Linked DNA regions of Rattus norvegicus. Each later gene encodes a partner of the first gene's protein in a complex. Links are inferred from orthologs where the notes say so. Each region holds a gene or a part of one and is shown on either strand. Other genes may lie near its edges.

Evidence for each region.
Region 2: the proteins of Arf1 (region 1) and Ap3b1 are in contact, whole or in part, in a cryo-EM structure (PDB 9C5B), measured with the Homo sapiens proteins. The link is inferred for Rattus norvegicus from reciprocal best matches to the Homo sapiens genes ARF1 and AP3B1. Residues at the interface, in NP_001019397.1 of Homo sapiens: Glu17, Arg19, Tyr35, Ile46, Pro47, Thr48, Ile49, Gly50, Phe51, Asn52, Val53, Glu54, Lys73, Ile74, Leu77, His80, Tyr81, Asn84; in NP_003655.3 of Homo sapiens: Glu52, Asn54, Pro81, Val84, Lys85, Val87, Ala88, Asp111, Leu112, Leu114, Leu115, Ile117, Ser118, Thr119, Gln121, Arg122.
Region 3: the proteins of Arf1 (region 1) and Ap1b1 are in contact, whole or in part, in a cryo-EM structure (PDB 7R4H), measured with the Homo sapiens proteins. The link is inferred for Rattus norvegicus from reciprocal best matches to the Homo sapiens genes ARF1 and AP1B1. Residues at the interface, in NP_001019397.1 of Homo sapiens: Glu17, Met18, Tyr35, Ile46, Thr48, Ile49, Gly50, Phe51, Asn52, Val53, Glu54, Thr64, Trp66, Lys73, Leu77, Arg79, His80, Tyr81, Gln83, Asn84; in NP_001118.3 of Homo sapiens: Asn23, Asp25, Pro52, Asp53, Val55, Asn56, Met58, Gln59, Met83, Ile85, Met86, Ala87, Val88, Asn89, Thr90, Val92, Lys93, Tyr121.
Region 4: the proteins of Arf1 (region 1) and Iqsec2 are in contact, whole or in part, in a crystal structure (PDB 6FAE), measured with the Homo sapiens proteins. The link is inferred for Rattus norvegicus from reciprocal best matches to the Homo sapiens genes ARF1 and IQSEC2. Residues at the interface, in NP_001019397.1 of Homo sapiens: Arg19, Gly24, Leu25, Asp26, Ala27, Lys30, Thr31, Ile46, Pro47, Thr48, Ile49, Gly50, Phe51, Asn52, Val53, Glu54, Thr55, Thr64, Trp66, Asp67, Val68, Gly69, Gly70, Gln71, Lys73, Ile74, Pro76, Leu77, Trp78, His80; in NP_001104595.1 of Homo sapiens: Arg810, Gln811, Gln841, Arg845, Val846, Gln847, Gly848, Glu849, Ala850, Gln851, Val853, Glu854, Glu858, Asp879, Phe882, Ile883, Phe886, Ala887, Ile889, Leu890, Asn892, Thr893, Asp894, Tyr896, Ser897, Pro898, Ser899, Val900, Arg904, Met906.

What each region holds. Positions count from the first base shown.
Region 1 is NC_086028.1:44,510,803-44,515,272, forward strand, and holds the start of Arf1 (ADP-ribosylation factor 1), read right to left. Parts: upstream 3,193-4,470; 5' UTR 3,149-3,192; exon of another isoform or gene 2,857-3,148; intron 1-2,856. UniProt on the Homo sapiens protein: Small GTPase involved in protein trafficking between different compartments. Modulates vesicle budding and uncoating within the Golgi complex. In its GTP-bound form, triggers the recruitment of coatomer proteins to the Golgi membrane.
Region 2 is NC_086020.1:27,453,075-27,457,050, forward strand, and holds part of Ap3b1 (AP-3 complex subunit beta-1), read left to right. Parts: intron 1-2,918; coding exon 2,919-3,060; intron 3,061-3,976. UniProt on the Homo sapiens protein: Subunit of non-clathrin- and clathrin-associated adaptor protein complex 3 (AP-3) that plays a role in protein sorting in the late-Golgi/trans-Golgi network (TGN) and/or endosomes.
Region 3 is NC_086032.1:84,138,415-84,142,272, forward strand, and holds part of Ap1b1 (AP-1 complex subunit beta-1), read left to right. Parts: intron 1-1,020; coding exon 1,021-1,166; intron 1,167-1,605; exon of another isoform or gene 1,606-1,702; intron 1,703-2,782; coding exon 2,783-2,912; intron 2,913-3,151; coding exon 3,152-3,236; intron 3,237-3,692; coding exon 3,693-3,779; intron 3,780-3,858. UniProt on the Homo sapiens protein: Subunit of clathrin-associated adaptor protein complex 1 that plays a role in protein sorting in the late-Golgi/trans-Golgi network (TGN) and/or endosomes.
Region 4 is NC_086039.1:24,807,110-24,811,085, forward strand, and holds part of Iqsec2 (IQ motif and SEC7 domain-containing protein 2), read left to right. Parts: intron 1-606; coding exon 607-732; intron 733-3,136; coding exon 3,137-3,236; intron 3,237-3,976. UniProt on the Homo sapiens protein: Is a guanine nucleotide exchange factor for the ARF GTP-binding proteins.

The DNA.
Region 1 (4,470 bases):
CGTTGTCTGCCTGAACTTAATCACCCCCAACTGCTGTCTGTAAAATATGCCTGCCTAGCATGGTGGCACACAACTGTAATACCAGCAGGCTTACAGAGGTGAGGCAGGAGGATCTCAAGTTTAGGGAAAATCTGTACTACACAGTGAAACCCTTCCTCATGAACAGCACCAATAACATTTGTCTGTCTTCCTATTTTCTGTCAGTCCTGCTCTTGTCACTTAAAACTTTCCCTATTATCAGGGCTTGCAGGGAGTGCCACTGTTCCTATTCTATTGGCTGCTGACAGACTACCAAACTGTTGCCACTTTGAGTAAAAAAATCAGTAAAGAGGATCAGAGTGTGTGGAGGCTGGGTTCTAATCTGTCTCACCACTATCTGTGTAGCAGGACAGGGTGGTGGAACTCGGGTGACCACCTAAAAGGTCCCTCTGGAAATAAAGAGACTGGGTGTGCCTCCACTAACAAGTTTTCCAGCTTATCAAGTCACTTGACCCACCAGAGAGGGCTGTTACCTTTCAGACATTGACAAACTGCACAAGCTATTATCTGTAATCTGTATCACAATCAATACTGGACACAGACCTTGGTGTGTAATGAGGAATCCCAATGTATACACACTCCCACCCCAGCTACCTTTAGCTTCTCAGTAGGCAGTGTCAAATCTTCAATAGTAGATTCAGCATACACAAAAAGATGCTCTTGCTTGTCAAGATTTCGAATCAAAGAAATTTTCATTTTTCTCTCCTCACCATCTCTAACAATTTCATGAATATAAAAGCTCAAAGGGATTCAAGAAAGCCAACAGGGAAGAAAGACCATGAATGACATAGCAGCCTAGAGCACGCTGGGTCTAATGGGACTCACTGATGGCTCCTCAGTGCAAATGACATAGCCCTTGTGATTAAGAGTAGATTTAAACCTGTGTATCAGAGCCAGGAGGTGGTAGCTTATGTCTTTAATTCCAACTATGGAGGCAGATTTCTGAGTATGAGGCCAGCCTGGTCTCAAGAGGGAGTTTCAGGACAGCCAGGGGACACAGAAAAACCCTGCTCATCAATGTAACATTTAATTCTAAGAATCTGAAAGAAAAAAAAAAAAAAAAAAAAAACAACTTGACCCAACACTTTCAAACCATTGTAACAAGCTATTGCATGAACTTGCACAACAAGTTTTTTCTCTTGGTTAGGCTTCCTGACACTGTGTTACCATAGCAACTGCTTGTCTAATTTACCTTTACATTAAAAAAAAAAAAAAAAAAAGGTGTTTTGAAGCCTGTCTGGTCCTGGGCAGAGGAAGCAGCCCATTGGAGTGAAGATTGTGGACATCCATTCTACAAGGTGCAAGAGGTGTAGTGGACATCCCAGCTGCATGATTTTACAATTAGAACTGTGTGTGTGGGGCACAGAACTAGTTATTGCTACTTTCCTCTCAGGATGAGTAGACTGAGTATGAGTCAGCTGTTATTCACACTGTCTTAAACCTTGTGTGCAGTGCTAGAGACCAAACCAAGACTTCATGCAGGCTAGAAAAGCACTCTACTATTCCGCTCCTAAACCTTTTTGAAGTAGCAATTCTGTACATCTGCCTCACAAACAAGAGAACAATGTGATGATCCAGTGACTCAGACCCATTTTCAAACCTAAGGCTAAGTGATCGACATTCCAATGAGGGAAACCTTTATGCTGTGGAGACAATGTAACTCCAACAATGTAGCTCCCACATCTGCGATTGGCCCTTGACCACAGCAGAAACCAGGTAGTAATACTGTGCATCAAATCTCACAGTCTAGGCTATTTCTAATAGCCCTGCTAAAAGCTCAAAGGTGAGGACTTTACAGTCACCCATGTCAGACACTGTAGATACTGGTTAAGACAGTGGAGAGACATGAGGCCAGCACACAAAGCACCATGGCATCTCACCATTCTGACAGTCACAGCAGAAAACACCAGAATCAGCCTGCAGGAAAAACTGCTGACCACTACTACTTGTGAAACAAGAACTACAACAGACTACTCCAACATGGGTTGTGGCATCAACTACTGGGCCCTCCAGTGACTTCTGGGACCAAATGCAGCTGACCCTTCCTTTCCTGACAAAGCAGCCACTTGCTGTTTGAATGGGAGAATTCCTTCTTGATGCAAGCAGATTCCCTGGCATTTAGTGTTTGTTATATGTGGCTAGACCACATAACATATGTACATTACAACCTGACATGGCATGACCATCCTGAATAGACAGCCAGAATCCTGTACTGGATCTGGCCTCTGTACCTGCATATTGCTCAGAGGCTGGGAGCAGGTTATTCCATGGGCAGGTTAAAGATTCTCCAATTCAGAATGGCCTTTTCTAATCCACCAAAAGCATAAAGGGAGTCAGCCAAGAGGCGAAATAACGCTCAAACCCCTCCAGAGGCCACTGGGCTCTAGAGTGCAGACCCCATTGCAGATCTCATCGAGGGTATGCGGGGCCAAATCACGGCTAATTGGGGATCACAGTGGGCATTCTGGGATCCCCTGAGATCCGAATATGTGTTAAATCCCAGCACCCGGTCATCAGTTCCGAGTCCCTGTCCGACACCTGTCCCTTTCCCTTCCCCCTTCCTACAACTTCGGTCCTCTAGGCCGACAGGAACAGGACTCGAGAGACAGAGGAGGAAGACCTCGACACCCGAGTGACCTTGACGCCGTCTCAGGGCCACCCGAGCCTCAGTTTCCCCAGGCCCAAGGCTCATGCCGTTTCTGAAGCTGCCGGTTAGCCTTTAAGAAGGGAAACTCCGTGACCCCCGAGCCCTGCTCCCCGCAACGGGCTCCCGGGCCGTGGAGCCTAGGAAGGGCGCAGAGAGGAACAGCAGGAAACCTGGCTTCCTGGAGAAGAGCCGGCGTCCTGGCCGGACTTCCGGGCTGCGGCCCGCGGCGGGCGGCCTGGCGTAAGGGCCGCGGAGTGGGGGAGGGCCAAGCGGCCGTGGGCGACGCGGGACTTGGGGGCGCCCTGATCTTCTGTCCGGCCTGCCGCCGAGCCCACTGAGCACAGACCTCAGGCCGCCCGACCAGACTCGGTCCTTAGCAGCCGCAGCCGAGAGCCCCGCGATTCCCACGATGACCAGCCCGTGGCCTCCCCAGCTTCGGCCTCAGAGAGCCCCGCTTCTCACCTCCGCGGCGGCTGCTCCCAGCCAGGCGTTGGTTTCGCTCCCACAAGATGGCGGCGCTGACGGCAGCCACGTCAGCGCCTGCCGCGGGGCACGCCGGGGGAAGAGGGCGGGCACGCAGGAGGCCCCGCCCCTTCACGAATAGCGCTTGCGCGTCTGCACCCTGACGCCTTCGTTGGGTGGAGCCAAAGTCGCTCTGTTTCCGGATCGGGTCCCGGGCTAGCACACCGGCTCCGGAGATTAGAACGCGCAAGGGTGTGGTGCATGGATTTCCCTGTCCTACGGCGCGTGCGCACGCGCATCTTCCTGCGGAATTCCAGCCCATTCCGCGGATGCGGGGGTTGAGGCCAGTAAGCGTTCTAGAGCGCCAAGGTCAGAGTGGGAAGGTCGTGTTACCCCTGGGAGTGTGATGTCCTTCTCAGAGTACCCCAGGGTCTCTGATACTTCAGCTGAGTCGGGGCATTGAAGAGAATGATGTAACAGACAAATGGCCAAAGTGGGAAGAAGCACAGGCCAAATGTCAGACAAACACCATGTCCCTACACTCGTCTTGGACCCGTGTGCACACTCAGAGCTGACTGAGAGGACTAGAGACCTGTGCGGGCATAGCACTGCCTGAGAGGCTACTCTGGGTTGCCCCTAATGGGGTGGCCTCCTTCAGGGTGCAGGAGAGAAGGTGGAATCCGTTAACTCTCCCCATCTGTGCTGGAGTGAGGCCCAGGTTCTGTCCTCCCTGTCCAGTTCTTCCACTCCATGTGCTGTTGTGAGGACTCCCACAGGCAGGAGATTTTGAGGGACTTAGGAGATTCTTTTGAGCCTGGAGCCTTATCTATTGAGTTGGCAGGAGGCAATTGTGTTGCCTGGGCTTACTTCAGCCACTGTTGTGTCAAGACACAGGGTGCAGGGCATCCTCACTGCGTTTGCGGGTTGAGACCTCTAGAACCCTCCCCAGAGTTGTGAGCCTGCCAGGATTCTATGCAATAATCACCTTCTTGACCCTAAACGCATCCCTTTCCATCACTCAGGGCTCCATTTTTAAATGCTGCTTCTGTAAATTTCTCTGGGGGCACCTGCCTGTTCTCTCCCACCCTCAGCACACAGCAAGTGTTTGTGAAAAACATAAGGTGGTGCTGCCTATACACACCCTGGAGAAATGGCAGGACGTTTCCAGAGGCCTGAGATTTCAGCCATGTCAGAAGCCTGTCTTAGCCACTTCATGGATAAGGAGACAAAGAAATGGGGTGTCTAGAAAAACCACAGGTTCATCAAGAACCAAACTCCCTTTCTGTACCTAAAAAGGCAAAACTGAAGAAGTAGAGACAGGG
Region 2 (3,976 bases), on another chromosome or scaffold:
TAAATCCTCCAGCACTTTGCCATTATGTAACCAAGACAATTGATTTTTCTAAATAATGTTACATTAAAAAATTAGGATCCAAATATCAGAGTCAAAGGCTGTGAAGGAAGACGGTCAGAAGATACTTAAGGGTTGGTGCTTTTCAAGATCTGCCATTATCAACAGTGTCCTCATGTGTTAAGGCGTCATTAAGATTTTGAGTAATTGGGGCTAATACCTTGGATTGTGTGGCTCTGTTTCCCCTCCCCTGCTGTCAGAGTGGCCTCCGCTGACTCCCTGGCCCTTCTCTGGGGCCTGCTGCCCACTCCCATGATGAGCTTGCAGCTTGGGCTCAGTCGTGGCTGACAGCACTGATTGCGCGCAGTACGCTCTCTGCTCCTTTTATTACAGACAGTAATTAAAGCAGCTCGCCCTGCCACTTCCATAACAAACACAGCATAATGCCCTAATTATGACTTTATTAATTTAAGTCAGGATTTAATGATTTTAAAAGTGATTTATATTGTTTTTCCTGTTCAGAACAAATGAAATCTGTAGGTTAAATTAATACAGGCTTTTCATCATTGCAAAGTTAAAAACCTAGTTACCAGGAAATTCTTCTCATTAGGTTAACATCTGAAACTCTAAGCAGTAAGGTAAACAATAATTACCATCAGAATTGAGTGATGCATAATAAAATAACACTTTTACCTTTAAAATCTTATCTGCAGTGCCAGGAGTGACGTTTCCTTAGAGCAGCTCGCCTGCTGCAGGAGAGAGGCCCTGGCTTGCGGTCCCTGGCGTGTGAGGACACTGCTTGGCTTTCACATCAGACTAGCTGTGCTGGGCTGATCTGGTTTGGGAAAGTGCTTGTTTCTAGATGTGTTCCTCAGCATAGCAGTGTTTCCTCAGATGGCACGTGTCACCATGATATATGCTTTTAATCACATACTGGCTTCATATCTTTTTATGTTTGAATTCAAAGTAATCGTTACACCAAAGTGAGCCACAGTGACAGTCCAAGCCGTTCTATTTGCAGGTCTGTGTTTTAAACAGTGGATTGGGGACAATATATATTGCTACCATTTTGTAGGAGAGAAAACAACATATTTTTCCATCTTCAAGTATAATTACATGTGCTCTGAGATGTTGCCATTGCTCCATTTTTAATAAACAGCAACATATTTCCTCCACAGAAATCAATTCTGAGAGCTATTGATCCTTCTTCCCACACTGCTCTCCTCCTCCCGTTCCTGCAGCCCGTCGCTGTAGAGTTTGCTTGTCATTTGCCCTCACCACTTTGGAAGTTCTTGATAATCTTTAAGTCTCCTCAGAAACTACTCTTTCCTAGTCACAGGCGTTTGTTACCAACTTTCAGTCTTACATTCATTACAAAGTGTCTTCATGGGAGAAACAGTAGATAGAGGGAAGGGGATTAGGACATCAGGAGACAGATTTGATTTCAGAGTTCAGGATTCCCTCTCATGTCAGTGTGTCCTTAAAGTTATTGGTTTCATTGTCGTAAGTGGGTTAATAATAAAGCCAGGAAGAGAGCATTTGCAGTAGATCATTGGAATGAAACACCTAGAACTGCCCCGCCTGAGGCAGATTATTAAAAACAAAACAGAAGACCTTCAGATAGATTGGCGTGTGTGTGTGTGTGTGTGTGTGTGTGTGTGTGTGTGTATACACCACATCATGCAGAATCCTGAGGAGGTTAGGACAGTCTTAGATTCTCTGGACTGGAAGTTACAGGCTGTTGCAAACTGCCGTGTGAGTGCTTAGAACTGAAGCCAGGGTCGTGTATAAGAGCTGTCAGCACTCTTAACTGCTGAGCTACCTCTGGCCCCTAGGTTAGTTTTACAAGGCCCACACATGTGCATACATGCATGTACACTTACACAGACGTACACCATGAGGAACTGCATTTTGGGGGACTTGGAGACAGATAGTCCATCTCAATTTTCTCTGTTCTCTTTGGGGAATAGTTTTAATTTGCCCACTCACCCCACTTCTGTTTCTCAAGTCATGTTCTTTTTCTCAAGAAGCTTCCTGATCGTGGGTATCTAGTGTAGGTGTCCCTTTGACACCTTGGGACACCTTGCTTGTATGCCTCATCACTGCTGCTGTATTTCTCTGTATGCTCCAGTGCAGCCCAGACACTAAGCTGACATGCAGGTCATCTGCGTCCTCACAGTTATCCTCTGGCACCTAGCTTGGGGCTCACAAGTTAGCAATAATACTGGTTACCTCAGTGAGCGATGAGAAGAAGCCTGTGAGAGTGTGGTGTGGAGACCCTGTCTCTAAATAAACAAGTCGTTTCCTCTGAGCCAATTAACATCTTCTTACATACATATTTAAGATCACACTTCTGTGTTTACCTTGTTGATTTTTCTGAGAAAGAAACAGAATTTACCAAATGTAGGTCCTTTCACAAAAGTCAATGTATAACCTCTTAAACTTACCAGGAAGCAATATTTGAAACCTCATTCTAAAACTCAGCCTGAGTTCTAAGAATTTCTTACTCTTAGTTCCCCAAAGTCCACCTGGCCTCTCGTAGCATTTTCTGTATGGTTACTGATTCTACCAGCAAGTGCTGTTTTGTGATTTTGCACTCGAAGTCATTCTAGCTTTCTTGGTAACACTACCTTTATTCATTAAATTTAAATTTGTTTCTGCGTGAGTGCACACTTCCCAGTGCACATTCGGAGATCAGAGGACCACCTGTGGGTCGATTCTGTCCTCCTCTGTGTAGGTCCTGACAACAGACGATCATGCTGGCCGCCCTGCTTGGCCATGGGGACCTTTACCCATGGAGTCATCTAGGCAGCCCTTATTTGGTTTTCATTCATCTCAGGATTTTTAAGCTATTACTTAAATTTTAAATTTTAAACATACGGTTTTACAGTTTATATCTCAAAATTCATCTTTATTCACAGTGCCTCAGAAGACAGGGAGAAGAAAAATGGAAAATCTCAGGCCTCGGAGTCGTCCAGTGAGGAGTCCAGTTCCACAGAAGAAAGTTCTTCAGAGTCAGAGTCAGGCTCTGACAGTGAGCCTGCACCCAGAAAAACAGCTAAGGTAAGACCATGCATGTGCTGTGGCTGACATACATGTACAGCTTGTGCCTTTCTCCAATTGATGGATGGGGTGAAGGAAGAAGGCAGATCTCTGAGTTTGAGGGCAGCCTGGTTTTCAGAACAAGTTCCAAGATAGCCAAGACTGTGCAGAGAATCCCTATCTGAAAAAAAGCAAAAACACATTTGCCGGGGGCCAGCCCCAGTGATCCTTCTGTCTTGTTTGATTTTTCTTCAGACAGTGGAGGGGTGAACTTCAGTAGGTGTGAGACGTGGTCTTACAAAGTGTTTACGGTTGCTCTTTAATAACAAAACATTTCCCTTTCTTACGTCTAAGTCACTTTGCTTCAGTAGCTGACCTGCCTTCTGAGTGTCTCTCAGAAGCACCCCAATCTTAAAACAACAGAAGATTAAGCCTTTGTTCTATCTCTGCTAGTGGAAGTCACAGGAAGTAAAAGGGACACTTTGAGAAGTGATTTTAGTGTTGATTTCTGAGTTTTAAAAAGTTTCCTATGAAAGGAAAAAGGGGATAAGCAGGATGCTTAAGAGGGGCTCTTTGTCCTCAGCACTTAGACATCTTCTAGGATACATAATCACAGGGTAGGGAAGTTCGTCACAGTTTACACATAATTGAAATCATTAATGAAGTTTACAACAGAGACTGTTTACATGCATTTCCATCGGGAGAGATTATCTGGCTAAACATCCATCATCAGTCCCCAAGCTCAAAAGGTTCATTGAAAGTTAAACACCATAACTTTTTTGACAAGGTAATTAGGGAAGTTTTGTATAGATAAACACAGGCAATATTTTATCCTTTGTCCTAGCACCTAAAATAAGTCATTAGCTCCCTTTTATGACCTTAGGTGAATGGTTTCACAACCTCTTGAATGTGTTCTGAGTAGCAGATGCCTGCTTGC
Region 3 (3,858 bases), on another chromosome or scaffold:
TGGGTACTCAAGGATTGAGAAGCCATGAGCTGGCCTTAACTGATGACATCACTGCCAGTCTGGTAGAGATGAGGTACCTGGTCACACTCAGTGCTGTGAGGAGAGCTTCAGGGACTGAGCTGGAAGTAATCAGGCGGGCTCTGGAGGGAGAGTCCTTGCCACCAGAGAGGACTTTCTCACCTCCTCAGTCGCTGGTCCCCGCAGAAGCAGCAGCAAGTCATCTGTATTTCCTTCGCAGCACTATTACCACTGGGGTGGCTTGTCTTTTATTCAAGATTCCCCACCTGCCTTGGGTTGATTCCTGCCATTTAGTTAGCAAGCACCCTGTGCACAGCAGTGCCACCCTAGGCCGCAGATGTAGATGGACCATCAAAACACTTCCCTTAACAGTCTCTGGGCAGCAGTAAGGAGGAGAGGTATACGAGCTCATGAATGCGAGCTTCCTGATGGAGGAATTCTGTTCCTCGGCCTGCTAGGGGCAGCCAGGACCCTGGCAGGTGAGAACTTGTTTTGTACTAGCCATACTATCAGGTCAGGCCAGTGTCTTCAGTGGAAGGCCAGCCATATCTCCTGCAGGAAGAGTTTGGGCTGTGACAGCCAAGGAGAATTCAGGCCATGACAGCCAAGGAGAGTTCGGGCTGTGACAGCCAAGGAGAGTTCGGGCTGTGACAGCCAAGGAAGGTTCAGGCTGTGGCCAGGATCTAGAATGCTGTTGGGTCTCAGCTCTGATTTTGGCTTGTCGGGGTGCTGGCAAAGCTTACCTTCTTCCTCAGTATTGCCTTCTTTGACCTCTGAAGATGTCCCTTTTGTCCTCAGCTTCTCTGATATACAGCTATACCATGATGCTGGCCCTGGGTGGGCTACACTATTAGCTTTATCATCGGGGTACATATAACATGCCTCAGTGGTAGAAATGGGTTGATCAGAAGACTCTTTAGGAAAGAAAAAAAGGGTCCCAGGCTAGCTATGACTCTTGGGTGGGGAAGAGGCACACAACTCCTCCCACCTTTTTTCCTACAGGTTTGGCTCCCTGCCATGAAGGCCAAGGGGCTGGAAATCTCTGGCACCTTCACCCGGCAGGTTGGCTCCATCTCCATGGATCTGCAGCTGACTAACAAGGCCCTGCAGGTCATGACAGATTTCGCTATCCAGTTTAATCGGAACAGGTGAGTCCTGGCCAGACTCAACAGCAGTGTCTTGACCACTGTGTGGACTTCAACGCACCAGGCAGAGTGGACAGGGCATCCCCATCAACTTGCCCTCTACTAACCAAAGGATAGTTTTGTGTCAGAAATCACTGCCCTAAGCCAGCAGCCCCCCGCTGGAGGTGCCTTACACCTCCCTCCTGCCTCTTCTCCCAGGCCTGAGTCCCTTTTCTGTTGGGGAACAGCTCTGAAAAAGTGGGTTGGGTAGTAGGCCTGCTAGCCAGGCTCCCCTGAGGGCAAAACAGTGCTCAGCCCAAGTTTTCTCATCAGACAAGGACTTGCTCTGAGAATGAGTACTAGCTGCTCCAAGCTCCCTGTTGCTCCAGCCCCCATGTTTTCAGTACTACACATTGGTGAGGAAAGGTGCTGGCATGGTGAGCAGCAAGGCCAGGCTCTCTGGAACCGTGGCAGCCCCTCCTGATGATTCCTCTTCCTGAGTGTCTCCAGTGATGAGCAAACTGAGCCTCTAAGAAACTGACTAAAGGGGCAGCTTCCTCAGGAGAGATTGGGGAGGCGAGGCAGCTCTGCCTCTCCATTCGCAGGACACTAGAGGCCAGAGGGGCATGACTGCTTAGAACGAGCCTCCGTACAGTTAACCATTCCTGGGGAGCGAATCCTAGGCCAAGAACTGTGACAGTCCGCAAACCTGACAAGGATGGCAGGCCTGGGCTTCCCTCTAGATGCTAGGCAAGTCTAAATAAGAGTATAGTTCAGTTCTCAGCAGCCATTCACCCTGTAAGAGCTGGAAGCTGGATGTAAGGCTGTTCCTCACTAAGGGTCTGTGTTCTCATCAGGAAGACGGAACTGTGCATTCTGACTTTTACCAGGATGGAAATTGGCCTGTTGCCATGTGCTGCCCTGGACATACTGAATGCTCAGCTCAGGTTTCCCTGCACACCACTGGGACAACGTGTAGTGTTGTATTGCGTTGCCGGCTGTAGTTCAGACATAGCCCTCTTTTGAGTTATGGGTCTTAGCAGTATCTAGGCTGGCAGTTTTCCATCGAGAAACGTCGTTCAGGCCCTGGTGTTGGGTGGAGGTCCTGAGGGAGAGGGAGGGCTATGCTATCCTGGCCTACCAAGAACCAGCCCAGAGGAGAAAAAGCAGCAGAGAAGTCATGCTGGACCCAGGCTCTTGCAGGGGTGGTCATGAGCTCAGGAAAGGCTGACTTGGTGAAGAAGCTCTACTCATCACCATGCACACCCATCACCCTGCACACCCATCACCCTGCACACCCATCCCCCTGCACACCCATCACCCCGCACACCCATCACCCTGCACACCCATCACCCTGCACACCCATCACCATGCACACCCATCCCCCTGCACACCCATCCCCCTGCACACCCATCCCCCTGCACACCCATCCCCCTGCACACCCATCCCCCTGCACACCCATCATCACCCTGCACACCCATCCCCCTGCACACCCATCACCCTGCACACCCATCCCCCTGCACACCCATCCCCCTGCACACCCATCATCACCCTGCACACCCATCCCCCTGCACACCCATCACCCTGCACACCCATCACCCTGCACACCCTCTAAGCTCCTGTCGGGCTTCTCTTTTCAGCTTTGGCTTGGCCCCCGCTGCGCCACTCCAAGTGCACGCCCCACTGAGCCCCAACCAGACGGTGGAGATCTCCCTGCCTCTTAACACGGTGGGCTCAGTCATGAAGATGGAGCCTCTGAACAATCTTCAGGTGTGTCCCCACAGGGCCAGACACCCCATTTCTACCCACCTCAGCCAGGAAGCAGGAAGCCTGAGAGAATGGTGCCCTCGGCTACAGCTGGAACCTGGGCTAGGGGACAAAGGGCATGGCCACAAGGGAGGTCCTGTGAGAAACCCGCTCTGGACACCCTGCTTGGGCCCTAGGAGGTGGGATAAGCCCAAGAGTCAGGGTGTCAAGCCCGGGGACTGACTGGAGACCCCCATGCCTAGGTGGCTGTGAAGAACAACATTGACGTCTTCTACTTCAGCACTTTGTACCCACTGCATGTCCTCTTCGTGGAGGACGGGAAGATGGGTGAGTTTGAGGCCATGGGGATTCGTGTAGTAGGACTCAGCTAGGGAGCCTGGGGGACGAGTGCCCTGACATAAGGGCCAGAAGGACAGCTTTGCCTTATGAGGGGGTCTTCAGCTGCTCCTACCTGGCTTGCAGGTGGCCTGTGCCACCTTACTTGTGAGCGCTGCTGCTCACCCTTATGCTCGTCCATGGGCTGCAAAGAACCAAGTCAGTCACCATGCCTGGAAGCTGTGTGGCGGGCACTCACCTTTGCCACTGGCCCCAGAGCCGTGTGTAACAAACTGCAGAGGAGAAGACAGTGAGGTCAGATGCTCGTCAGGCAAAGGAGGGGCAGGAAGCAGAGGGCATTGGAGGGAACTGGAGGAGCAGGTGCCTGCCTTCCTTCACTGCCATGTGGTGCTGAGGGCCAGACTTTATTAGGCTTCTATCTCTTATCCTGCCCTGTTGACCCTGTAGACCGGCAGATGTTCCTGGCCACATGGAAGGACATTCCCAACGAGAATGAAGCCCAGTTCCAGATCAGAGACTGCCCGCTGAACACAGGTGAGTCCCTCCCCGCCCGTATTCCACCCACTGTGTCCCCTGTCCCCACTGATGTGGGCCTTCCTTCCATGTCTGATCC
Region 4 (3,976 bases), on another chromosome or scaffold:
CCAGATTCCCCTTACCTATAAAATAAAGTGGGAAATATGATAATTCCTTAGGAATCATGGTATAGATTTACATAAGTGCCTTTAGTTTATTGCAAACCATTCCGACCATCAGAGGTGTGGTATGAATATTTTCTTTTTATCTAGGTAAAGAGAGCCAAGCTGTAATAGCTAAGAAGATACCCTATTGCCAGCAAACATTTATGACTGTCTTACCAGTGATCCCAACATTTTGCTGTCTTTAGGGGTACTCAAAGATTAGTGAGGTTCCCAGACAAAGACACAAATAAAACTTCTGCCTCCTAGTCTAATTTAGAGGAACAGAAAGCAGGGAGAGGCCATTTTAAGTCAAAGGAAGTCAGAAAGGCTTCTTGGAAAATAACTTGGGAATTGTGGTGTGAAAGAGGACAAAATTTAGCTGGCCTGGGCAAGAAAGACATTTCAGACAAGAAGGTTCTAGAGGGACAAAGACAAGGTAGCAGAAAAGCTTAAAGGACTTAGTTGTTTATATTCTTTGTGTCAGAGTGACAGATATGCCTTGTTAAGGTACCAGAGGCCTGAAACTGATGGGGTGGCCTTACTGACCACCACTTTTCCACACCTGTCCAGGTCCTGTCGCTCCCTCACCGTCGACTGGTTTGCTGCTGCCAGCTCTATGAGGTGCCAGATCCAAATCGCCCCCAAAGGCTGGGGCTGCATCAGCGGGAGGTCTTCCTCTTCAATGACCTCCTTGTGGTATGGGCATTGTGCAGAAGGAAATGGGAGGGAGATAGCAGAGCTGCTGGGTCTAGTGCAAACTGTGTTGTGTGCAGTGTGCTTGGTACAGTGCTCCAGCATGCCATCTGCATGGTCTCCAGTAAGGTCTCTGTCCCTCCGTTTCCTTCATTTTGATGTAGTGAGAACCACACAGGGACATTAGTAGGGGGCTAATAATAGATATGTAATCTGGGAAGTGGTAGGAAATGTCCCTGCCCACTGCACCGTAGCACAGTTGTGAATCTGTGGCTCTGGGAACCTCTCAGTTTTCTTGATGTTGGAAGTGATTAAAATGAAGCATACCACTGGTACAGAGATACCCACCTTTTAGTGATAGAATTTGTTGGATTCTACATATCAAAAGGGATTTTTCAGGATTTCCTAGGCAAGAGCTACTCTCCAAGATGGCTTAGCCCCAACTGCTTGAATCTGGTTTTTTTTGGGGGGGGGACTGCTTTTTGTTTTGTTTTTAAAATAAAGAGTCTCACTGAATAGCTCTGGCTGTCCTGTAATTTACTATGTGCACCAGGCTAGCCTCAAACTCACAGAAATCTACCTGCCTCTGCCTCTTAGCTAGAATTACAGGTGTGTGCCAATACACCTGGTTCGAATCTGCCTCCTGATGTGGTTCGGTCTTACTTTACATTCTCCACTGTTTCTTGGGGTCACAAAGAGCAAATATTCTCCCTCTGCTCCGAGACAGTACTCCTGAGACCAGCAGTCTTGTTCCTTCTTGGTATTTTCATCTTCACATTAGCATTTCTCTGTCTTGTCACTACTGTTGTTATTTTGAGGCAAGGCAATTCTTTCTTGCAAGGGTCTGTCTTGTGTATCGTAGTATGTTTAGCAGCACCCTGGGATACCTACTAGAAGGGAGCAGCAAACCTTCAACCAAAAATGTGTTCTCTAGAGAAAAGCAGAAAAAGAAATAGAAGGGGAAGGGTGGGAGGGGAAGGAACATCTTCAGGGAAGAAAAGGTGGAAGGAACAAAAGTAAAGAAAGCAATGTCTTCTCCAGATGTTGTTCTGTATCCTATGGAAGCAGCTCAAAATCATCTCTAGTTGAGAATCATGAGTTTAGACAACATACCTCCAACACCCTCTGCAAACCTTAGTGTCTTGCTTCATGAAATGGTGCTAACCCTTATCTCCTAGAGTTGTCAAGAGGATGAAACAGGAAGTCAGTGCCTGACAATGCAGTTCAGCAGTAGAGTGCTTACTTAGCACTTGCAAGGATCTGGGTTCCATTCCCAGCACTATAAGAGAGAAGAGGGTGAGGAAGAGATGATTCCATCTCAAACCAGGTGTGCCTGGCCCACTCGGATGCTGAGTCCCTGTTAGATGCCCTTCATGTACCAACACCCCTGTTTATCTAGCTCTGTTCTAGGCACCGAGTACATGGAGATATATCCATAAGCCTTTGTATTCAAGGACTCACAAACAAATGGCCTAAAATGCGTTTTGCAACATGGTGTGCTGATAAACTCCTATAAGCATTTGGGAGGTGGAGGCAAAAGGAACAGAATGTTGAAATCAGAGTGGACTACATGACAGAGGTCTAGTCTCAACCACCCACACCACACCACTGGAACCAATCTAAACCAAACCTTTGAAGAGCCATTTGTAGTGGATGAGGCTGTAGCTTAATGATAGAGCAATTGTCTGGACCCAGGTTTCATTCCCCAGCAAACAAAATACATGGAATAAAATAGCCATTTGTAGATTGTCCAACTTAAGTTAGGGATGAATCTAAAATCTCTACATACTTGATAAAGACTTTTGGTCATTGAGAGATCGTTAACCTTGTTCAGGGGCGCTGCAGAGGTTGTCATTATAAGCTAGTTTTGGATGGTGGGAGTTGGGGTAAGAGAGAAAACCTGAAAACTAGACCCACCAAACCCCCTGCCCTCCAGGCTAGCAGGGGCAATCACATATTTAAATCTGACAAGGGAAGAGGTATGAGAGCAACACCTTGGAAGCTCAGAAGATGGAGACAGAAATCTATGTGAGGTATTAGGACAGGCTTCCTGGAGGGAACAACATTTAGTTCCTTTAAGAGTTGCAAATGCTGGGGTTGAGGATTTAGCTCAGTGGTAGAGCGCTTGCCTAGCAAGTGAAAGGCCCAGGGTTTGGTCCTGGGGGGGGGGGTCGGGAAAAAGAGTTGCAAATGCTTGTTGTGCATGGTCATGATATCACAAACTTGCATTCTCTCCCACCTCTCCACTCCTAAAGTTTCAGTTCTTCCTTGTGGGTATATGTGCTCATGTGCATATGCCTGTTACTGGGAATAGGTGGGGAAGATGGTTACTAGAAATGGGTATTATTTGGAAATCCCCCACCCTAAACCTTGCCTCTTATCTTTTTCCCACCCTTGTTTGCCAAAGGTCACCAAAATTTTCCAGAAGAAGAAGATCTTGGTGACATACAGCTTCCGTCAGTCCTTTCCCCTGGTGGAAATGCATATGCAGCTCTTCCAGAATTCATGTGAGTTCCCTCTTGAACCCTAGCATGCATCCCAGGGGGGGACGGGGTTATCAGAGCCCATACTCACCCTTCAGCTATACTAGCTTCCAGCCACTGAAGTCCTCTATAGTTGGGGGAAGGTCCCCAAAGGATCTACCGGTTTGAGGATGAAAGGAAGATTAGAATGGAGTATGATTTGGGTGTGACTCCTGGAAAACACAGAACAATGTTTGTGTGTTCCTTAGTAGGCAGAAGAGGTCGCAGTCACACTGTGCTTGGAAGTCATGTATTGAGAAGAGCATGATTGGGTATAATTCAAGAGAGCAGAGTCACTGTGAGAGACAGAGAGACAATGGAAAAGGTTTCTAGAAAGCAGTTCAGAATTTGCCTTTACATCTTGGAGTATAAGGAATAAGGTTGCCATGGCTACCAGGAGTTTGGGGACAAAGGGAAACCACTGAAGATGCTTGAGCACAGAAAAGGCGTTTCAGAGTTGGGTGCTACAGAAATCATCTCCAATTGGACAGCGTGATGTGTGCCTGTAGGACAGCATTTGAGAGGCAGAGACAAAAAAGTTGCTTAAGCACAGGAGTTTGAGATTAGCCTAGCCAAACAGTGTGTCTGTGTCTCAGAGATGGTTGGCAGCAGTGTGTGTGTGTGTGTGTGTGTGTGTGTGTGTGTGTGTGTGTGTGTGTAGGAGGATTGTATCATCTCTCAGTTTCTTGTCTTATCCACCTTGCTTCAAAGTTGACAGAAATATC